Struthio camelus: one gene and its partners. The protein of the gene in region 1 interacts with the protein of each later gene in a biochemical or structural test. Links are inferred from orthologs where the notes say so. Each region holds a gene or a part of one and is shown in the gene's direction. Other genes may lie near its edges.

Region 1 (7,739 bases):
TATTATTGAAATAAATTGTAGAGGAAGGTGACACAGTGAATCCAAGTAAGGGGCGAGTTGCCTTTTTCTTCAGAGGATCCTGTGGTCACAGATTTACTCTGTCTATCTCCAGGAGAATGTGCCATGAAATAACGCTGTAGCCACTTCAGGGGCAGGAGGCTGGAGATCATCCTACGCGAGGAGCTGCGTTTCAGGACAGTGCTAGCTGACCCAGCTCTGTGTAAGACCTCAGGCAGTACCTGTCCATGCTGGCTTGTCTTTAGCTCTAACCAGAACTGCTCGTGTCCTGATGCCTGGGAGGTTGTCGGCAAATACCAGGGGTCAACCTATAGCTAGGCTTTGCCAAGGCAGGAGTTGGGTCATCTTCTATCGAAATGTTTTCTAGAGATAGATCCAAAGCAGAGCCAGGCAGATTCTCTCTTGTTATCAGAGGATCAGCTTGGTACAAAAATCTCTGACCACACCGAAAATCCTCCTCTGATAAAAGACAGGTGAGACTACTATGAACAATGATTCCTACTTGGGAAATAGAGCAGTATAGGATTTTCGTATTGATAGATACTAGTAGTGTGAGTGTATCAACAGGAAACCTCACTGGTACAATTGCTAGACCTTGTTTAAAGTCTCTTTTTACCCCAGGATCCACAGGGTCAGGCTCTCAAAGCTTCAAGGCCTATGATGTCACAGCATTGAGGGTTTGGATTTTAGCTGGAAATTAAACATTAATTTTGCTGTATTAAACCATCTGTACTTACAGTTTGTAGCCTTAGTCACTCCAGTTTCTCTTTAAACTCTCTGGTGGATGAACCCATAAAGTTCTCAGTAACTAGACATGGTTTTCCATCCCAAAACAAGTAAAACTGGTTTTGGTATGAAATCAGAGAGAATGATTTGATGCTTGGGGGAGTTTTGACCCATTTTAAAATCCAGGGCACAGTGTGGAATTTGAGACGCTTATAAGACCTTGGTCAATTGAAGGTCAATATTCTCTCTGAAAAAAACCACTCTAGTTGTTGTATATTTATAGTGGGACCCCAAGCATGAAGGACACTTTCTGGAGGAAGAAGAAAGCAACATCCTGCTCCCTGACAGATTAGAGGCAACGGACAGCTGAGTCACCAAACTTCAGCAACTCTACAGATGAAGGAGCAAGGGAATCGGGCTCTGCATAAAGCTCTGAGCCAGCCTAAATCAGCTTTTCTGGCATTGTGGTGGGCTACGAGCTGATGAACAGCATGCTGTCCTCTGAGCTGGTCCTGCAGGCGGTACAGGTGAGGTAGGATGCCTGAAGCAAGCCCTCCTCAGAAAGGAGACATGTTTGAGGTTCTCCTTGCCCTGTGTTAATGTTCAGCTGTTCCCCTGGCACACTATGAAGCTTGGTTAACTAATGTTCCTAAAGTACTTAGAGACCCTTGCAAAAAGGAGGGTATTATTATTGGAATGGCAGTAATTAGAGATGAAGAAGGTCTGTTAGATCATTAAATCTATTCCCCTGCAAAGGCATGACTATAGTCCCCTGAGAGAAAGGACATGCTTCAGAGCTGAAATGCAAAGGCAGGGTTTTGTACAGCCTAATGACCTGATTATCTAACTGGCTGGTGTAAGGGACTCTTCGGGGCAGAACCAACACTGCTGCGGGTCACTGGCTCAGCACTATTAACAGCTGACCAAGGGTTTCCTTTAATAGAAGCAGTTTGAGCAGGTATGTCCTGAAATCATCTTGCTGCAGCAATAACGTTCTGGGCAACTGCAGGGTCAAGAATGAGGACAACGAAAAAGTCGTCTTGGTTATGTTTGAGCTGTTACAAGCAATACCACCTTCTAGGATCTAGGGCTATCCTGACTTTCCTAATAGCTTGACCGACTGGTCTTTACTGGATGCAACTAGTAGGTAAAGTGGGAGGAAGTCAGCTGAACAGAGAATGAACAGAGCAAAATTGAAGGGAAAATCTTAAAATTAAGAGAAAGTTCTAGCTGAGGCTTGTGAGTTTTCTTAATTACCAGTAAGAGCAATTTTGGGAGCAGAGTGGCGAAGACATGAGAGTACAGCATTAGGATGAAGACGAGAACAGATCACAGTTGCATTACAGAGTCGTAGCGTTTGTAGGCAAACAGAAATGTCCCTCAGAAATCTGTCATGTCATAAACCTTATTGGCAAACTGTTTTTCTAAATAGTGTTTTTCAAATAACTTTTCCATGAGTAGTTCTGTAAGATCTATTCGGGGCAGCCACAACTCATGTGATGCTCACATGGCTCCCAGATGAATCTTCGCTTAGAAGGGCTGTCACATAACACATCACACAAAATGAAAGTGATGAAAATACGTCACACCCAGTTCTCAGCTGTGAACAAGAGCCTCCCTGCGCTGTGATCCTAAGACGTGTGACACGACTTCCATCAGCTGGCATGCAGATGAAATGGAAATCGTTCCCTTCTAACCACGCTGCTCACGGCTAGTGGGTCTCCTGAGCATTAACTCCCTGGGGGATTTAACCTGATCACTGATCCACTGTTTGCTAGCCAAGGCAGCATAAAAAGCATGTCATGATCCTAAAAGTGACAAGTTGGGTAGTTGGTAACAGCGGCAGTGAAAGCAGACGTAGGGCAGTTACGCCAGGCAATTGCAGCTCGGACGAAGAGCATCGGCACGGCTTTGTTGAGCAGGAAATGTAAGTAATTGAATTCCAAATAGAAATATTAAAAAGGAAGTATAAATGGAAATGTTAAAAAGATGGAAGGAAACAAAGGCTACACGTAGTAGGTTATTTGCGTTTCAGGAGTCCATTTCTGCATTTGCCCTTAGCAGCCAGGAAGGCAGGCTCTGCGATACTTCCTGGAAGGGGCTACTCGCTGCAGCTTTCTGAAGGGCTGAAGATCCCATATACTTCCCCTACGGACCTGGAAAGAGGTGCACGAGGACCCAGTACATTCACAAGCCTGGGAACTGGGGATATACCCGACTTTTTCATTAGTGTGCTGCATGACATTGGACAAAGTGTTCCAGTTTTCTGGTTTAAAGGTGGCTATACTGTTCAGGCCAGACACTGCTCTTCATGCCCTAGGCACCCTAGTGGCATCCCCTAGGATGATGGGGATTTTACAAAATAGCCATACGCTGGGTCTTGGCTGGAGGAAAGGAGTGATGGGGAGGACACTGGGTATGATGAAAGGGCTGGCATCATTACTTCATGTAGGGCAGAAGTACGGGCAAGGAAGCTATTGGAGTCACCTATCAGAGTCATCCCTCTTCTGTAGTCTGTGAAACAGGTCTGGCTAGCCGGCAAAGTAGTTGGCTAGCACCAGGACACGTTGTGCTGAGCTCCATCCCCAGCTATTGGATGCCGACTCCCCTGAGCCTTCTGCATCGCGGATCATTTTAGTAAATGTGTAGCTGGAGAGATGTGATATGAGATAGCAATACAGTTAGCAGCAAAAATCCGCCAGACTGTGCCAGCGGAGAGTGTGTTACAGCTATGCAGGAGCTGAAGATGAAGCTTTTTGTTTCCCTGTGTCACTTCTCAGTCCTGATCAGCAGTAAAATAGGGCACGCATACATCTGACAACTGAATTTCTTGCTAGAAGGGGTTCAGTCATGCATAAGACTGCTCAGAATGAGGCCTGGCTTTCAGGTTTTGGAAGCAGGGAGCATGACCTGGAAGAGCCAGCTGGTGCAAGCACACTTACTTATTTTCTGTTTGAGTTTTGCATTAAAGTTCTAGGCAACTTTGAAGAGTTGTGGCCAAGGGCAAATAAATTGATGCATGTCTTCTCCACCGCAAGGACCTCAGTATAGGTCTGTCCCAGTTCGACATAATTATACTGGGGAAATAAGTAAGGATATTATTAAAACGCATGCACCTCAGAAATTGAAAAGTGGAGAACTAAAGATCTGTGTTGGCTTTAATTCAGCCTTGCACAAGCGCTTTGATACCACTTTTAATTATAGACTTGTGTAAGGTTTTCCTCAGGACTTCTGCCTCATTTTGTCCCATCCTCTAACGACCCCCTACTGCAAGTGCAGGTGAGCAGTGATTTTTAGAGGTTTGCAACTTGGCCAGCTCTGGAAACGCTCCCAGGAGAGTGAAGGAGCCCTCTCCTCCCCCTTGCCAATCTTCCCCGAAACATGAGCTGCTCCGTGAGATTACAGAGGCTGAACTTCTCAATGGGCTTTCAGGAACTCTCAGTGAAGCAGGGGGCGTGCGAGGGGGGAAGCATACTCGCAACTGAGCCCGTCCTTAGCAAGGAATTGTTCCTGCTGACATTTTAAAAACAGAATCAATCCAAGGTGCGCGCTTGGCGCCGCTCCTTTTTGGGGAGGAGGAAAAAAAAAGAAAAGAAAAAAGTTGTCTGCGAGTGCAAGCAGGGCCTTTAAAACCGGGAAGAGTGAGACAACCTGAACTACGGCCCTCGCGGCCGGGGCCGGGGCCGGGGCCGGGGCCGGGGCCGGGGCGGGCCGGGGAGGAGTGTGCGGAAGGCGCCTGCGCCGGCGGCCCCGAGCGCGGTGCAGCGGGGTAAAGCGAAATGTAACAAAACAACCGGAGTCTTTGTATCGCCTTAAAGGCGCCGCGCAGCGCCCGCGCAGAGGAGGCGGGCAAGGGTGGTGGCGAGGGGGGGACAACAGCAAACAAAACAAAAGCGAGGGGTAGGAGGAGCCAGCGGAGGGCGGATTTATTGAGTTAGTTTTTTTTTCTTTTTTTTTAACACGAGGGGAAAAAAAAAAAAAAGGAAAAGGGACTAGGGGGCAGGCGAAGGCAGGCGCGCGCCCTCCGCGGGCGCGGAGCCATGCGGGCCGCGCGCGGCCGGAGCGGGGCGCGGCGCGGGCGGTGATGGCTTGAGCGGCGGCGGGGCACGGCGCGGCACGGCGCGGTCTATGAGCCAGCGGCTGGGCGCCCCGCTGCGCACCTGCTTACCGTGCGCCGGGGCCGGCGGAGGGCCGCGCTCAGCATGTCGCGAGTCGTCCAGAAGAAGAACCACTGGGCCAGCCGGGTGCGGCAGTGCTCGCTGAGCCGCGGGCCCGGCGGGCAGCTGGGCTTCGCCCTGCTCGGCGGCGCGGAGCACGGCGAGTTCCCCTACGCGGGCGCGGTGGCGGCGGGGGGCGGCGAGGCGGCGCTGAGCGAGGGCGAGCTGCTGCTGGAGGTGCAGGGGGTCCGCGTCTCGGGGCTGCCGCGCTACGACGTGCTGGAAGTGATCCGCAGCTGCAAGGACCCCATCGCCGTCAAAGCCGTCAGACAAGGTGCGAGGGGGGCACCGGGGGGCACCGGGCGGCGGGGGGGGGGGGAAGGGGGGGCTGCCGCGGCTCGGCTCGGCTCGACTCGGCCCGCGCTCCGCCGCGGCCAACTTTGTTCTTGGCCAGGAAGTTTTGGGTACCGAGGCGAGGGGCGAGCATTAGGGCGACCGCGAAAGGGGAGCGCCCCTGGGTGCTGCTTGTGTCGGTGGTGTGCAAGCGTCTGGGTACGTGCACACTGCGGTAGTGTGCGAGGGGGTGTGTGTGTGTGTATATATGCACGCACATATATAGTGTGTGTGTGTGTATATAAATATATATATATATACACACATGTACTTGCATACAGTCACGTTATCGTACCGAATCAGCCTGCAGTTTCCTGGCCTGCAGCGAGCAATGCCGTGAGACTTTCTCCAAAGCGCGCGGGAGCCTCCAGCCCGCGGTCCTGCGATGCCGAGCGGAAGCGGCCGAGGCCGGGGGCTCGCTCCGTGGGGCGAGCGAGGCACGTCCGTGCCCGGCCCGGACCCGCAGGGCTGTGCGGGAGGATGCTGCTCCCCCGGCAGCGGCTGCATGCGACGTGTGTTGGCTCACGTGGAGCGCGGTTGCGGGCTGGCGGCCGCATCGCCGCGGGGGGACGGGCAGAGCGGCCACCAGTGCCCGTGGGATGCTTCTCTGAAGTCGGGCTGAAAGTTGGCTTGGGCTGGCTCTTCCGTAGGTGAGGACACATCTGGGCTCTCACCCCGCAGAGCGGCGGCGGGAGGAGGTGGATTGCTTTCGGATTTAGCTGTAGAAAAGGATAGGAAGAGCCTTCCCATGTGAGTTTTTTTTTTTTTTTTTTTAAGTCCCACTTCATGCCTGTGTACAGGCAGCAGTTGTTTAACAGGTTAGCATAAGAGGCCTGGCTGATAGGTTTGTAGTTTCCAGGGCAGGACTTGCATTTAGTGCCAGGAAACTGTTACTGTTGCGACAGCTGCTGAGGTTATTTGGCTGGGCAGGATAAACAGGAATGTGCTGCAACACCTGTAGGTGCGGGTGGCGGAGCAGCGCACCCCAGGGTCATCGATAACTGCAGGAAGGAAGCGAAGTTTTCCTAGGAGCGTTTGGGAGGTTCTTTAGGAGAGAGTTTATTATTATCCAGACACATACACATCCCAAACTACAGGGCATGTTTTCAACCTGGTCAGTTGCTGGAGATGCAGCAGCTAAAAGATCTTTTAACTTTGTTGATAGGCCCTTGTTGTTATGGTAGGTTGGCAGGAGGGTCCTCTGAAGCCTTGTCCGCCAGCCTGATTTACGAGCTGCTCTGGATGCACTTGTTTCACGGCCGTTGCTCAAACTCCCACCGTTGGAGTAAATCACCGCGATGGTGTGTCCTGCTCGGCATGGCACTTGTGCCCTGTAATCCTGCTCTGCCCTCTGCTTTCTTCTTCCAGGGATGATAGCAGCTCAGAATTGCCCCAAATCTTATATATCAAAATTACTGTTAGTGTTAAGTGTTGAAACCCTAAGTTGGCAGAAATATTCCAACAAGCAGTGCTGGACGCCAATGAAAACTGTTTTCTTTAAGCAAATGCCTATTTTCCCTGCTGCATTTTCTCTGCTACACTGGAAACCGGGGAGTGAAACTGATTTGCTGATTTTCATTGCCCGGGAGGGGAGCGAGAGAGTAAAATAAAGAGAAGTATGAGGAAATTATGCAGATTTTTACATGCTGATTGTTTTAGCAGAAGGGTTAGCGTGCAGCTTCTGTTGATGCAATGGGATCAGTGTTGTGGGCAAAGGAAAGTGGGTAAGAGACGAGCAATTTGTGATTAAACTTTTTTTTTTGTTGAAAACTTTACTTAGTCCAAATGGAAACTCGTCATGGGACTATACCAGAAATGACAGAATTTAGAGGTGAATATGTCTCGGCTCTAGGATGCAGTGTCTGGTCAAAATGAGTCAGAGAGCTGTTTTTTTCTCATAGTAGCTGGGTTCACCTGGGACTTGGGAGAAAAAGGTTCAAAGCCCTGCCTGGAGCCAGGGCAGGAACTTGAACCTTGGACCTTCCTCCTCCCGGAGTGAGAACCAAGCCCCTGGCTATTATGAGATCATATTTTCCTTTTTTTTTTTTTTTTAAATGCTTTATTAGAGTGGAATATATAATAGGATTTTTTTTTTAATCACTGAATATTTTTGTGGTTTAGAAAGCCATTCCTTGTGCCTCTCCTAATGATAGCGTAGCATCTGCATGGTGTTCTGCACGGAGTGGGGAACTCCCTCGTGGATCAGGATCATATGTGTAGGAAAGGAGAGAGTTTTAATTAAAATACATTATGTTGATTAAAAATCTCATTATAGGCATGGCAACTGTCATGCAACAGGAGATGTGTGGCACTAGAGCAGACAGTGAAGGAGTGTGAAGATCAGATTGTAAACGCGATTTTAACTGTATGAGTCTCTTCCTCTTCCCAGTTCTTAGTCCATAATGAACTGATGCTGAAGTGCTATGGAAATCTTAGCCTGGAAAT
Region 2 (7,981 bases), on another chromosome or scaffold:
GAGATCTGTTGCGTGGCTGGAAAAGGTGGGTATTTGTTCTTGGCCATGTGAGGTCTTCTCATTTCTACACATATGCTATCTCTTTTACGGAAAAGGATTGGGTGGGAGCTGCTGAAATCAAATTTGCAGCAGCGTCAAAAGGACCTTGCAATGTGGTTGAAGACACCTGTTCCCCTGTTGTACAGAGCTCTGAAAAGGAGAAGTTTTGAGCAAGAGCCCTTCCCGTTGCCACAGACAAAGCTGACGAATGATAGATGATTCTGATTACTTACAGTTCATGGGGCTTTTCTAATGGTCCTAACTCACCAACAATGACAAATGCTCTCGTTAAGCCTATATAAACAATTGGTTTGAGGATGTAAAAGCAAAATTCTTTTTCTTTCACCTTCTGAAAGATGGAAAGCACTGCAAAAATATGTGTAAGGGGTGCACTATTATTAAAATTGGCTTTTTTGCATTGGCTAGCTCTCTGGCTAAGACAGAACACCAGTGAGGCCTAAAAGTAATATCTGTAGAAGGTGCAAGGAGTGAGACTGGAAGAACAGAATGACTTGGATTATCCAGACTAATTTGCTTTTTTTTTTTTTTCCCCCTGAAAGGAATTAATTCTGCACGGTATGCAACAGTTGGGAAATGCATCACTCGAGGCTTACGACGACAGCTTAGGCAGCTTGGATATCTCATAAGCCTTATGGAAGAGCTCTGAAACCTTTCACAAGTTGACTGTGTCACTTGGCAGAGTTACTGTTGTGGCTGCGAACCACATGTATTATCTAGCCTAATGCTTACTGACTAACTGGAACATAAGGGCAATTTTCATGTAGTTTTACAGCACTTATTTTCTAGGATTTTAAAGATGAAAATATGAGACAGCTTTTTTTTTTTGTTTTAATGACTTGAAGTACTGATGGTGACATGCACCCTCATCATGTGCAATTTATGGCCTAAGGTTTTATGGCACCATAAACGTCTAAGCTGCCTCGAATCCTCCAGACGACTACTTTCAAAGTAGTGAAACTGCTTAAAGGAGCAACATTGCCAAGTGTAGAAAATTCTGCAAAATAACTCGACACTTTGAATCCTAAAAGAGATCGGTGTCAATGAAGCGTGCTTTAATCTTTGCCTAATTAAGTCTGCTTGTTTGAGAACCACAAGTCCTTAATGCATGTGTTACTAATCCCATGCCTAATCCAAAAAATCTTTCCAAAAGGCCATAGTCCTCACTAGACAGGCTATCCATTTAAGTCAATACAGTCATCACTACTCGTTGCGGAGAGCTGGGAGCAGAAAGCTTAGCAGGCAAAAGCCCTCCTTTGAATAAAGTCCTTTCTGGCCCCAAAGATGGAGCACGGAGCAAAGATCAAACTTACAATTTCTCCTGGAGCATTATGAGCTTCTGAAAATTCAGTGAAACTATTTTGCAACCTCTGTCAGCATTTGCTAGCAGGTAGATGCGGCAACATCAGCAGGAAGCCTCTGAGCAATTCCCTGAGTAATTCTAGCTGTGCACCACTCATGAGTTATCATGGATACTGTGTGTCCATAGTCTTTAGCTATTACTTGTCTTTGATACACACTGGACTGCCGGAGTCCGTTTCCAGTGGTGTAAAGAGCCTCGGACACTACTGAGGACTTGATGTAAAGTCAGGATCTGGCCCGAAGCAAGGCTGAGCTTCTGCCACAATGTCCTGCCCAGAAGGAAGCCTGGTAGTGCCAACCAACGTTGACCTTCATGTCTGTGTGTGAGACGATATCTTTACATAGCATCCTAAATCCACTTATGCTTATTAAAATTCCAGCTCTGGTGTGCATAAACTGCACAACCAGCAGTTATCAGGGCTACACAGGGCTGGTAAGTCTCATGTGTAAGCCAGGAGAAGACGACATTGGGTGAGGCTAGAGCGTCCAGCTGAAGGCTCTTGCTCACATGCTGATTAGCAGAGTAATGTACCCTACTGGCCCAGTGCTTGGCCTCAGCTGCCCAAGCAACTGTGATAATAAGTCGAGGCTTCCCTCGGGCATGATGACTCCAGTCTGATACGTACTGCCGTACAGTGGAGCAAGGGAGGAATGTGTTGGAGGCAGATCTCTTTAGTGTCACGTCACTGCTGGAGACTCCATGAGGAGGGTTTTTCTTGTGCAGCTTCTGCCTCCTCTGATGAAATTATTGCTGCTGCTACTGCCTCTTGGGTGGGAATTGAAACTGTGAACAGTTTTCTTTCATAGAGCTTCTTGGTTTTCTTCTTTCCTAGTCCTACGCAAGGGTTATGCATTTCTATCTCTAGGAGGCAGGCTGCTGGTATGCAGACAGACAATTCAGTACAGCCTCATACATGAGGTCCAACCACAAGGCATCGTTCCTATAACCAAGCAAATGAATAAGCTCCTCTGTATCATTCATTAGTGCGAGTGGACTGAGGAAGTAGCTGTCCAGAGCATCCACCTTGCCCCAGAGCCCACAGTCACTGGAGAAATACCAGAAACCGGTGGAAATCTAACGGAAGAAGGAACACAACCTCCTTCCCAAGAGACCTGAAAAGGGTCCCTTAGCTGGACTGGCTTCTCACATTTCCTAAATATTGGCAATAGGAGACCTGTGGCTCACAATGAGAGGTTCTTCACCAAGGCAGACCAACCTGGCGACCCTGTCCCTGGTGTCCCCATATCTAGATATGCTTCACCTTCATGACCTACGCACCTATAGTCTCAGCAGAGAAGGCCTGCCACAAGCCCTTTTCCATGCCATAGATCACCAGGGAATTCTTCACCTGGATTTAAAAGTCATCTGATAAGTCCATGGTCTGCTGCCTACTGTAGTGGGGGAAAACAGCGCCCAGGGACGTGACTGCGGCCATCGCAGAATGCAAAAAATAGGAGGTCCTGAAAGACCAGGAGCTCTTCAACACCAAGAGGACACACCAGTTTGTGGAGGGCTGCTACAGAAACCAGGGTCCCGCTAATCATGTGTTCAACGTGATGTACGTGAAACAGGCCTCTGTGACTGGTATGTGGTGTGGCATGACTGATGTGGAGCAGGGGAGGACTCCAGGGCAGAGGACAAAGCTGTAGAGGACTGTGAAGAAGGGAACAATTTGGCTGGTGGACACGAAGCGTACGATTGCCTATCAGTGACTATAAGCCAATATAAATGAAATACCGAGCGGGGCAACGCAATTCGCTGAACCGTTTAGGTTTGAACAAAAATAGAAACTTCACAGTTTTGTCACGTTAAGTCCACATTGGAATAGTACAAGCAGAATTAATTCTCCTAGCTTTGGCATAATATCAGTGCTAAGTCTGAGTATTCTGGCATAGCAAAATACTCTGCTGAGAGCAATCCTGGTGTATTGGGTACGCTTGCTCTTCTTCCCATCCCAATGGTACATTTCAAAATAGAAGTACATCTTCTTTCTAAAGCCTTCAAGTCTTTGTCTAGCAGATGGTTACGTTTAACCCTTTGGCAGCCTCCTGTAGTTCAGCTTAAAGGGAGGATATCTACTTTTTCTGAACCAAGCTGCAGGTTCTACTTCAAAAGTTAGGCTTTTTTTTTTTTTAATATCTCTGAAAAATCCATTTCTGATTTATTACTAAAATACAGCCAAGTCAGTGAAATGCCTTGTACATATGCAGGATTTTTTATGGGTTTCAAAGCATTTCATCCAACTGCTGTACAGAAGTTGAGACCAACCTGCGCTGAAACGAATATGATAAACTGTAAAGGGCCGTTCCAGCACGGCTGCCTGGGGTGCCAGCACCGATAAAGGGAGATTTTCTGCCAAAACTGTCTAGTCTACAGGCAGACTTGCGCTCCAGAGCGGGCACTCCCAATTTCTAAACGAGGGTAAGTCATGACCCTCCCTCTCTCCTAGGACCAGTCGAATCGTTATAAACTTTGGGGCTGCCACCACCGCATGAGGGGAGAAGCCCTGTCCCCTGCCAACAGCCACTAACCGCAGGGGGAGAAGGCTGAAACGGAGGAAAACTGAGATTTTGCCCAACGGGGCCACGTTTCCAACTAACAGCTGAGCGTGTCTGAACGCCTCGCTCAAAGTCCCACTTAACCCAAAGCGGAGCGGGAGGGATCCTGACGGCTTTTTAAGGCCGTTTTGGGGGGATTTTTTTGTTTTTTGGTTTTTTTTTGCGGGGGTGGGGGGCTTGCTAGCGAACATCCGCCTCGCCAAAGCATCTGCTTTTCCCCAGTGGGGTGAGAATTTAAGAGCCCCTCGTAAACCGTTTACGCGGCGGCTGCGCGCCGCCACGCCGAAAGGCCACCACGCACGAATCCCCCGCCCCGGCCGCCTCTCCCCGTGTCCGAGAGCGGAGACCCCCCCCCCTTCCCCTTCCTTCCTGAGCCCTACGATACAAATCCCCACTTTTTGTGTTTTCTTCAGCTCGGTGACTGTTCAGGGCACCTCCCGTTTCTTCCAGGGAGAGGGGGAAACCCCTGTGGAAGGCAGAAGGGAAAGGGGGGCAGCCCAGCTCCCTGAGGGGCCCTGGCCCCGGCTCACCCCGCGTCCGACCCTCTCGTACGTGCTTCGAGCCCATTTCTGAGGTACTTTTTCGTGACTCGAGGCGATTTCTGAGGTACATTTTTGAGATTTGAGGCCGGGGGCCGGGGGGGGGGGGGAAGGCCACCCTTCGGTGGCGTTGAGGGGACGAGGGCGCCGGCTCCGTGTTCGCTGAGGAGAAAAGGCTGAGGGGAAGGGTGGGGGGCAGGAGGAGACGGGGGGGCGAGGCCGGGGAGAGCCGGGCCGCCGCCGGGCACGACGGCTCCGTGCCTCAGTTTCCCTTCCCCCCCGCCGGGGTCCTCCTCAGGCGCCGCTGCAGCGCGGGGCACCAGGGGGCGCTGCGCTCTGCCGGGGCCGCCCAGCAGCCGCCCCTCCCGCCTCACAGCCGCGCCCCCCTCGCTTGTCCCGCCCCCCGCGTCTCCTAGCAACTCGCCCCTCCCGCGGCGCTGATTGGCCGCCGCCGCCGCCGCCGCCATTTTCAAACCCCCCGGTCGCTGCTTTCGCTGCTGTTGCCGCCGCCGCCATTATCCGCCGAGCGGTGCGGCCGGTGCCCGCTCCCTTCCCCGCTCTCGGCGCGACGTGTCGTGTCCTCATGGAGGCCGAGCCCGCGGGCCAGAAGCCCCCTCGGCGGAGACGGGGCAGGGTCAGTGCTGGGGCCCGCGCCAGCCGCTCGCCGCCGCCGGCGGACAGCACCCCCGGCGGGGCCGCCTCGGCCGCCTCCTGCAGCCGGTAGGAGCCGCGATCCCTCCCCGCCGCCGCGTCAGGGGCTGGAGCCCCGCCGATGGCCGCGGTGCTCCCTGTGTCCCTCGTGTATCTCAGAAGAGGGGACCCTGCTCCCTCCTGCCGTTTAAAGGAGGGGGAGCTCCTTGCCGGCCTGCCTTATAGAAGGGACTGTGCCTTCCCCCTATCTTATAAGAGGGGACCCCCCCCCTCCAGGCTGTAGGGGACCACTTACCCATTTCTCTTATAAGAGAGACCCACCCTTGCAGGCCATAGGGGACCCTTCATCCTCCTGCCTTTTAAAGGGGTGCTTCCCTCTGCTGACTATAGGGGACCTATTCCCCTCCTATTTTATAAGGAAGGGCCCCCTGCCTCCCTATTGTATAAGGGGACACCCTCTAGCCTGCAGGGGACTTCTTCCCCCCTCCTGTCTTATAAGGGGGTACTCTCTAGGCTGTAAGTCACCCCTTGCCATCCTATAAGGGGAACTTGTTTGTGGTTTAAGGGGATCCCTGTCAGCCCCATAAAGGGTGTGTGGAATCCCTTGCCTGTTCCTGTCCTGTAAGTGTATGTATAGAGGAGAGGGGTGATCTGCAGGCTGTAGGGGATCACCCTCTATGCCCCATCCCATAATGGGGAAGGTGGCCATTCCTCTCTCCATCCCTGGGTGCAAAACTACCCTGAGGCTTTCATGCAAAGACTTCCCTCCTCCCACCTTGCTCATGGGGGTATCCCCTGGGCTGCCTGCAGCCCCCACCTGTTTGGCAGAAAGAGGAGAGGGCCCTTGCTGCTTCCTAGGGTGGGCATCAGTGTGATTGGGGCCTAGGGTGTCCTCTCCCCTCTCCAATCGCTCTTATTGTGCTGCCACATGTCTGAGGGGATTGGGCTCCCCTTGTCACCCGTATCAGGTGCTGATCCCTAGGGGCCTCAGCTGGTGGGTCGGAGTGGGGAGCAGATGTCAGTAAAACTGGGAGCCTGAGGCTGCCTGGCAGGAAGGGCCAGAATGGGCAGGTTTCCCCCCTGGGTTGCCCATTGCCAGCTACCCCTGCTTGGTCCTCAGGATCTCTTTGGGCTGGAATGCCTGATCAGCTTATTCCCTTGAGGTGGGAAGACCTGTTTTGGCTCCAGGGTCTGCCCTGGCTTTTGCTCTGTTTAATTGCCTTGGTGTGCCATGTGTTATAGTTATTCTGATGTGTTTGTTGGACTTTGAGACCTTTCCCAAGACCACCCTGTGAAGGACACTGTCACTTCTTGAGTTAACCAGAAGCTCAGTTTGTGTTGACCCCAATAACAATACCTGGTTGTGTTTATAAGCAGATCCTGCCCTATCTGCAGTTGACCCCTGGATGACCCATCTCCTGCTGACTAACATCTAGACCAACCCAGGTTGATCAGAGGTGGCTTGTGTTTTCTGTTGCCCTTGGGGTTAGGAAATGACTTCTGCAATCATGCTGGTGGTGTGGAAAGTGCATTGCATTGTGAGGGAAGCACACTCCCAGCTCTGGAGATGGTGGACTTGGATATGTGGATGCCCTAAGCTGTTAAATTAGGATAGTGGTTGTCAGCTGGCTTAGGACAAGAGAAGAGAGCATATCTATAAAACTTCTGACTTATCACCGTTCCCCCTTACACAGAAATATACATTCCTCTGTTCTGTTTCCTCTGTGCGACTACAGTCTGCCTTCAGGTCCTCTAAGTGAAGCGATCTGTAGCGTACCAAAAAATTCTAAACCCTCAAGTTCTGGCAAAGGTGGCTCTGGCTGTGTCTCGCTGAACCCCGGTCTGTACCTCCAAATGCTGTGTGCAAGCTGCAGTTCGCCCCGAGATGCAATTGGGGTCCTTTCTTTACTGCCATAGTTCTTTGTACTGACTGGGGGATTGCAACCCTTTACAGCCCTGCCTGGAAGCTGCTTTTCACTACCTGGGTTATGTTGGCCAGAGATGCTCCTGCCTCTTCTCCAGCCTCATCTGTGCCCTGGAAATGGGTGGGAGAAAGGGGACTTGGGCAGTCCCTTGTTTTGAGACCTGGTGAAATTCCCCAGAGGCTGGAATGGGTGTTCTTTATTTGGCGGCCTAAATCAAAGCAAGTTAAACGTAAATGAGCTTGGCTTTCATAATGGCTGGCTTTAGTAAGCATGGTGCGTTCTGGATGGCAGAACGTTTTAATGAGCTTTAAAAACAAATGTTTTCATTGAAGCGTACTGCAGTATCATCTTGTAGTTCCATAATTAATGCAGTTGAAAAGCATAGTATAATTAAAGGCTTCAGTGGCTTGGTGAGGTGATGAAACATGTTGGCTGTTTGTAGGATAGTCGTGCATTCCTTTGTGAGGCTTGTCTGTGTGGAGAGGCCGGGCAAAATTACGATAAAACTGAAAGAAGTTGACACGGATAAGACATGTATGTATTAAACCTTCATCCGGAGACTTTCTCACAGGCAAATTGATGCCAGCTCAGCACCTAGATGTGATCTTGTGATGTAGGTAGAACAGTTCAAGAAGTCACTGACTCAAGATTTGTTTGTAGAATAGTAGAAAAGTTTAATTAGTGAGGGACTTCTGGAGATCTGTAGTCCAACCCTTGCTCAAAGCAACTTCAAAGTTAGGTCGGTTTGCTCACGGCCTTGTCGAGGCGAGCTTCAGATACCTCCAAGGATGCAGATTTTTCCATCTCTCTGGGTCCCTGTTCCAGAGTTTGACCACACTTATTTTGAAAAACTTCTTACTTATCTAATAAGAATTTTCCATGTTACAA
Region 3 (7,186 bases), on another chromosome or scaffold:
TGTCTCTCCCCTTTTCTCTCTCTCTCCTTCTCTCTTTTTTCCTTTTCCTTTTTTTCCTCTCCATTTTTCTCTTTGCTTCATTCTTTCCTTCTTTCTCTATTGATCTCCTGCAGCTGTCAAGCCTTTTATTTCCCGTACGCTGGAGCCCAATGTGAAACGCGCCCTTCCCGGGGGGCGGCAGGCGTTCCCCGCACGCTCTCCACTGGCCTTGCGGCGGGCCGAGCCACGCGGTGCGGCTGCGGCCGCCCCCTCCCGCTGCAGGCTGAGGCCTGGCATAACTCATCGCACTCTGCGTCAGACTCGGAAACCCTGCCCCGCCGCCCCCAAAACGCTCCCCAGGGCCTGCCTTCTGTCGAGAAGGATCACAGTTCGGTTTTCCAGGTTTTTAGCCAAACCCGCTGTGCCGGCAAACCTATTTGGGCGGACGCGCGCTGGCACTTTTCGCGGTGGTCCTCGTGTTCCTGTTCCCAAGCGCAAAGCGGGCATTGCTCAGGGCGCGGCGAGGAACGGATGCAGGCGTGGGGTGGCTGCTTTTCCTCCATCCCAGAAATACTCCTTAAGGGCAGGGACCACGCGGCTCTCCCTGCTCTCCGCATCCACCTACCCAGACGCGCGGTGCCGCGGGAGCGCTCCGAGGAACATCGGACCGCTCGGAAGCGGCTGGCTCTCGGGCAGACCAATGACTATCGACCAAACTATATGGGTCCTTCAGCTGCCTCTCCCTTTGAAACGATGCTGCAATCAAAAAAGTGCCAAAAACTCTCTATTTTTCCCCTCCGCTTGGGCTACGCTGTGCCCATTGCAACTGCTGCCACCCTGCGGCGATGTCCCTGCACCCAGCACGGCTGGAAAACGTCAGGTGCAGCGGCGTTTCTCAGCGGGATGCACCCGACAGCGGCGGACACCAAGCTGGACCGCGAAAGGATTAATTATTGTAGTTGCAGTGTCCGGCCGGGACTGCGGGAACTTTCTAACCGCATGCAATTTAAGGAAGAAAAAAACAAGCTTAAATTGGGATATTCAGATTCAGCAGTCAAAACGAATTGGGGCTGAGCGCCGTACGTTACCAGCGTATATCGATGCCCCGCGTCTCACTCATCGTTTTGAGGCGGTTTCCCCGGCGAGAGCGAGTTGTACTAATTAGCCGCACTAAATAACCTAATAGCCGGAGGAAAAAGGAGAATGCAAGTTACGTTTAGTTAAAAAAAAAAAAAAAAGTGTTAAAGACGGTTAAAGCTGTTAGGAGGCCAGAGGTCATTTCCGGTGAGTGGGAGTAAAGCAGCTCAACGATAATAAGGTGCAGCAACGCCGCCGCGCTCGGGGAAACGCAATTAGGAGCCTCGCCCGGCGCTCTGCGAACCGCCCTGGGAATTTCTGCTAAAAAGGATTATTTCCAAGCCGTCCTTCCAGCGGCTCTAATGAAGCTCGGCTGAGCAAGGCCAGGCGACCTCGCAGCCCAGCGGCAGCTTCCCTGTGCAACACGCCTGCGGCCTGCCCGTGCAACGCGCCCGCAGCCCAGCGCCCCCCTGCCCGACCGCTGCGATGCACCAGCCGCCTCCCAGCGCACCGCGCGCGCCCAGCACCGCCCGCCGCCGCCGCCCTCCTTATGGCGCCCCCTAGCGGGCGGCGCGGGAGCAGGCGGGGAGGGCGGCGGGGGGGGCGTGGCCAGCCGGCTCCTCCGTTCTCTCCTCGCCCGGAACTCTATGGTTCGTCCTTCTAGGCAGCTCGGAGGATCACAGCATGGCCGCGGTCCTCCTCAGCGGGGCGCTGCCGAGCCGCTGTTCGCCTCCCGGCTTCTCTCTCTTTTTTTTTTTCTTTTTTTCTCTCTTTTTTTTCCCCTCCCCTCTCGTTCCCCCCCCCCCCCTCCACTCCTCCTCCCCTTTCTCCGCCAGCCCAGCCGAGCCGCCCGCCTCCTGGCTGCCCGGCGGGGGACGCGGTGCCCGTGAGGAAGCGGCCTCCGCCGCCGCGCCGGCAGGCACACGGGCTCCTCTCCGCCTCCTCTTCCTCCTCCTCCTCCTCCTGCTGCTGCTGCAGCCGGGGCCGCATCCTGCTGCCGCGGGGGCAGAATTGATGTGGAGACCCAGCGCAGCACCATGCAGCCGCCGCCGAGGAAGGTGAGGCCTCCCCGGGCGGGGGGGGGGGGCCTAGGGGTGGGGTAGGGTATGGGGAGGGGGAGGTGGGGCTGGGGTAGGGTATGGGGAGGGGGAGGTGGGGTAGGGTGTGGGGGGGTAATGGAGGGCTGGGGTAGGGTATGGGGAGGGGGAGGTGGGGTAGGGTGTGGGGGGGTAATGGAGGGCTGGGGTAGGGTATGGGGAGGGGGAGGTGGGGTAGGGTGTGGGGGGGTAATGGAGGGCTGGGGTAGGGTATGGGGAGGGGGAGGTGGGGTAGGGTGTGGGGGGGTAATGGAGGGCTGGGGTAGGGTATGGGGAGGGGGAGGTAGTGGACTGGGGTAGGGTGTGGGGAAGGGGAGGTGGGGGGGCCTGGGGGTGGGGTATAGGGGGGCTGGGGTAGGGTGTGGGGGGTAATGGAGGGCTGGGGTAGGGTGTGGGGAGGGGGAGGTGGGGCTGGGGTAGGGTGTGGGGGGGTAATGGGGGACTGGGGTAGGGTATGGGGAGGGGGAGGTGGGGGGGCCTGGGGGTGGGGTATAGGGGGGCTGGGGCAGGGTGTGGGGGGGTAATGGAGGGCTGGGGTAGGGTATGGGGAGGGGGAGGTGGGGGGGCCTGGGGGTGGGGTATAGGGGGGCTGGGGCAGGGTGTGTGGGGGGGAATGGGGGACTGGGGTAGGGTATGGGGAGGGGGAGGTGGGGCTGGGGTAGGGTGTGGGGGGGTAATGGGGGACTGGGGCAGGGTGTGGGGAAGGGGAGGTGGGGGGGAGCTGGGGCAGGGTTTGGGGGGATAATAGAGGGCTGGGGCAGGGTGTGGGAGGTGGGGGGGGCTGGGGTAGGGTGTGGGGAGGGGGAGGTAATGGGCTAGGTTAGGCTGTGGGGGGGGTAATGGGGGCTGGGGCACGGTATGGGGCAGGGGGACCTGGGGGTGCAGTGTGGGGGGGCTGGGGCAGGGTGTGGGGAGGGGGAGGTAATGGGCTGGGGTAGGGTGGGGGGGTGGTGGAGGGGCTGGGGCAGGGTATGGGGGGGTAATGGGGGGCTGGGGTAGGGTGTGGGGAGGGGGGACCTGAGTGGGGCCTGGGGGTGGGGTATAGGGAGCTGGGGCAGTGCATGGGGAGGGAGGACCCGGGGGGGCCTGGGGTGGGCTATGGGGGGGCTGGGGCAGGGTGTGGGGAAGGGGAGGTATTGGGGGGGCTGGGGCAGGGTATGGGGGGGTAATGGGGGGCTGGGGCAGGGCATGGGGAGGGGGGACCCAGGGGGAGCCTGGGGGTGGGGTATGGGGGGGGGTTGGGGCAGGGCATGGGAGATAATGGGGGGGGGGGGGAGGCTGTATTTGGGAGAAGCCTGGGCAGGGTGTGGGGAGGGGGGATGCTGGAGGGGGCTGTATTTGGGGAAGCCTGGGCAGGGTGTTGGGAGTCGGGGCGGGGGGGGGGGAAGAAGAGGGAGACAGTGGCTCCATGGAGATGGGTCTGCGTTTGGATGAGGTGGAGGGTTGGGATGTGGGGCTGTGTTTGGAGAGGGTAGGATTCGGGCAACTCCTGGCCAAGGGGCAGCGAGGTCTGGGGGCAGGATGGGGCGTAAGGAGGGGGGTTGTGGGGGGCAGCAGTGGCTGGATGGGGCAGGCAGAGGTGTGGATGTGCTGGGTAAACCGGGGTGGTGGAGCCTGGAGGCAGGAGAGAAGATGAGGAGCAAGCGTTAGAGGGAACAAGTGATTAATTGGGGCTGGGGCAGCCTTAGGGACAATGGGAAAAGGGGCTTTGGGGGGGGGGGATTTCGAAGTGGGTGGGCACGGTGTTGGCAGGAGAGGGGCTGTGCAGGTGGGGGAGGCAGTGGCTGGATGGAGAAGCCTGGAGATGGAATAGGGCATGGGCTGGAGGGGAAGGTGAAGGTGGAGGAGATGGAGGGCAGGGGGCTGGTTAGGTGGAGTACGGTGGGGGTGGCAGTGGCCGCACTAAAGGAGAGCCGTGGGGTGGTAGGGTTAGAAGGGGGGTCAATGATCGCAAAGGGCTAGGCTGTACTTAGGGTTTTAGGACAGCCTGTGTTGGTTGTGGGGTGGTACTGGCTGCGTTTAGAGGACTTTGTTGTGTCTGGGTGGGTTAAAAGCAACTGCTGCTGGTTGTGCTGGAGTGGAAGGTCGCGTCTGGAGTTGCTGTAAGGATGCAGGTTGTCCCTGGGTGGATCAGGAGCGTGAGCAAAGAGGGACAGCCACGGCTGTGTAACACAGGTGTGACGGGAACAATCTGCACATGCTGGTTGCAAACGCTGCGTGAGGTGGGGAGGCTTTTTGGTGTCCTTGCGGCCCACAGGAATACGGGGTGCTTCGCCTTACGGCCGCTGGTGCGGGAGGATGTGAGGTAGATTTGGAAAAAGGTTGTTGCCGGTGCGGCTTGTCTGTGCAGGCAGGTTGTTCATGGAAGACTTGAGCTATGGTGGGGTCTCGAGCGTGAGCACTGATGTACGGAGATGTATTGATTAGTTATTTTGAGAGCTGTATGCAAGGGCTGGAATATGGGGAGAACGGGGGAGCTCGAGGTGGTAAAGCGAGCCTCGGAAAAGGTTTAGAGGTTGCTCACTAATAAGGATCGCGGGGCGGGGGGGGGAGTTTGCTGGTTTTGAGATCATTAGCGCGTTACGTTCGTCGGGGTGTTGTCCGCTGCTTGGAGGCGTGCGCCGAAATGCTTTGCGCTCAGACCGTCGTGGTTCAGTGTGGATGTTTAAGGCTTCGTGCGTGGTGTTGAGATTTATAGAGGAAGACTTGAGGAAGACCGCGCAAGGGAGCGTAAACAGAAATCCCCCTTGTCGTTCCCTGAGCTCCCCAGTAACCCCGGGCAGCCAGCTGCAGCCAAGAGCCCTCCGTGTCTCATTGCTGCCTCTCACCCCCTTGTTTTGCGGGTGGACTCTGCTTTTGTTAAAGGGTTCTTCTTGCTATTTTAGTTTGCGTTTGGCAGCTTATTTATGTTACGTGGGTGTCATTCTTTACCCACATTATTTCATTTGCGGTCATTTCCATTGCATGGGTTATCTTGCGTGGGTTTATTTATTTAAAATAGATTTTTTTTTTTTCATGTGCAGATGAAAGTAAAAACGTTGAAAGTTAATGTTAAAAATAGATTTTTTTTTTTCCTGCTTAATCAGAGTCAGGCCTGGACGTGTGACTTTCAGTATCTCGTAGGCACTAATGTGAAAAATGTCTTTAGTGCTGTGATTAAAGGGTCCTGGTTGTTGGTGGTGGTGGTGTCTTTTTTTTTTTTCTTTTTTTGACTCAGCCTTAAATTTGAGAAGGCTTTTCCTAGCCAATGTGACCTGGAAGATTTTTTTTGCCTGGCTGGTAAGAGGAGGGAGATTTGTGTCTACCTCTTCTCTGCGTTTTTCTTTTTTCTTCCCCCGTTACAGCAACTGTTAGGCATTTCGGTCCTCATGAACGCATAACATCTTTTGATATGCTGGTGATCCTTTTTTTTTTTTTTTTTTTTTTTTTTTTTAGGCTGATACTTGGACTCCTTGTGCTCACTAGAGGGCTTAAATGCCCAGACTGCTTGTTTTTAAAAAAAGAAAAAAAATAAAAGGAGGGGAGAGGATACAGGTTCCCTTGCCTAAGTCAAATCCTGGTCTTTTGCCCTTTTACAAATTAGCGGGTGGGTTCTCAAATTATTGAAATCCTCGGGATTGTGAGGGCCAAAGGAAAATTACGTAATACTCAAAAGCTAAAGCCAGCCTTATGAGGTACCTTATGTAGAAGGGCTCTGATGCACGATTAAGAAATAGCTTTGTTTAAACTGTCTTTAATTATAGTAGTTGTAGGATGACTTAATCAAGACACATTCCACAATTGTGTAAGCTATGCTGAAGTGCTAAGTGTACACACCATCAGTTTTCTCCCTGTTACCCGTTTTCCTTTTTCAAGCTTGTTCCCTCCCCCAATTATTTTCATAGCTCTTTGGAAAAACAAAATAAAACAAAACATTTTTGTTAATGTTAGGGCATAAGTTTGAGATTTGTGACGTATGAAATGAAGGCCTGCTGGGCTTACAGCATTTGTTGAAATCATAGGGTTAAGTTGCATTATTAATTCTGTGTTCTAATTTTCCACTGAAATATGCAAATTCAAAATTGATGAGAGAAATAAATTTTGTTTTCTTTTTGAAATTTGACCTAACCCCTACAGAAAATATATATGGTCTGTGTTTTTTTTTTTTTTTGTAGGTGAAAGTTACACAAGAGCTAAAAAACATTCAGGTTGAGCAGATGACAAAACTTCAGGCCAAGCATCAGGCAGAATGTGAGCTACTTGAAGATATCAGGTAAGGTTACAGAAAATGCAACCAAAAATTCCTTTAAGATCTAGCTTTGGAAGAACTTTTGAGTTACAAAACGTCAGGAACTGACGATGGAATTTCCTCTTTGGATTTCCTGCTTTTAGGCTGTTAAAGTTTTGACACAGCTGGAAATTATAACTGGAGCTAACACAATGCAAACCATTTTTTCTTCTCTTCAATGGGGGAAATGTTTAAAAAAAAAAAGTCGCAAACAACATGCAAAAAGTATTAGTCTTTTCAGCAGTATTTCTCTATATAATAATTTATTTGATTTACCAGTTTAAAGAGGCTGCTAAAATTATTGAAAATATTTTAAAACCACTGATGAACTATGTCTTGTTAGAGATGGCTTTGAATAGCACTTTTAAATGCATTTCATTTTTTCCCAGAAACTTAAAAGAAGGTTCTTACGTTTATAACCTAAACTCTTTTCAGGCTAAGATCAATGGGGAGAATCTAGATAACGTAAACTGTGTTTTTTTATTATTCATTTTAACTAATGCCATTGCTTCCCTTTAACATAAAAGTTTACTTTTAACAAAATACTCACGGAGATAGGGAGTACCTGGAATTATATGGAGGCTTAATCATTCCATTTGGAGAGGGTCGGTTTCTAGAATGGCTATTCTGTAAAGCGTTCATCAGTGAATCCACTGCTGTCCTTCCTTTTGTCACCATTTATTCCACCTGTTAATTAGTTAAATGAGATTTCTTGCTTTGTGTTTGTATATAAAATGCAAATATGGCCGCTTTGACAAATGACATG

The links.
Region 2: the proteins of MAGI1 (region 1) and NET1 form a complex in vitro, tested with the Homo sapiens proteins (3 studies listed by BioGRID and IntAct, with this or other methods). The link is inferred for Struthio camelus from reciprocal best matches to the Homo sapiens genes MAGI1 and NET1.
Region 3: the proteins of MAGI1 (region 1) and FCHSD2 form a complex in vitro, tested with the Homo sapiens proteins (2 studies listed by BioGRID and IntAct, with this or other methods). The link is inferred for Struthio camelus from reciprocal best matches to the Homo sapiens genes MAGI1 and FCHSD2.

What each region holds. Positions count from the first base shown.
Region 1 is NC_090955.1:13,480,291-13,488,029, reverse strand, and holds the start of MAGI1 (membrane-associated guanylate kinase, WW and PDZ domain-containing protein 1), read left to right. Parts: upstream 1-4,652; 5' UTR 4,653-4,946; coding exon 4,947-5,235; intron 5,236-7,739. UniProt on the Homo sapiens protein: Plays a role in coupling actin fibers to cell junctions in endothelial cells, via its interaction with AMOTL2 and CDH5. May regulate acid-induced ASIC3 currents by modulating its expression at the cell surface.
Region 2 is NC_090942.1:2,273,228-2,281,208, reverse strand, and holds the start of NET1 (neuroepithelial cell-transforming gene 1 protein), read left to right. Parts: upstream 1-4,973; 5' UTR 4,974-5,100; coding exon 5,101-5,237; intron 5,238-7,981. UniProt on the Homo sapiens protein: Acts as a guanine nucleotide exchange factor (GEF) for RhoA GTPase. May be involved in activation of the SAPK/JNK pathway Stimulates genotoxic stress-induced RHOB activity in breast cancer cells leading to their cell death.
Region 3 is NC_090942.1:222,626,069-222,633,254, reverse strand, and holds the start of FCHSD2 (F-BAR and double SH3 domains protein 2), read left to right. Parts: upstream 1-4,122; 5' UTR 4,123-4,261; coding exon 4,262-4,375; intron 4,376-6,307; coding exon 6,308-6,405; intron 6,406-7,186. UniProt on the Homo sapiens protein: Adapter protein that plays a role in endocytosis via clathrin-coated pits. Contributes to the internalization of cell surface receptors, such as integrin ITGB1 and transferrin receptor.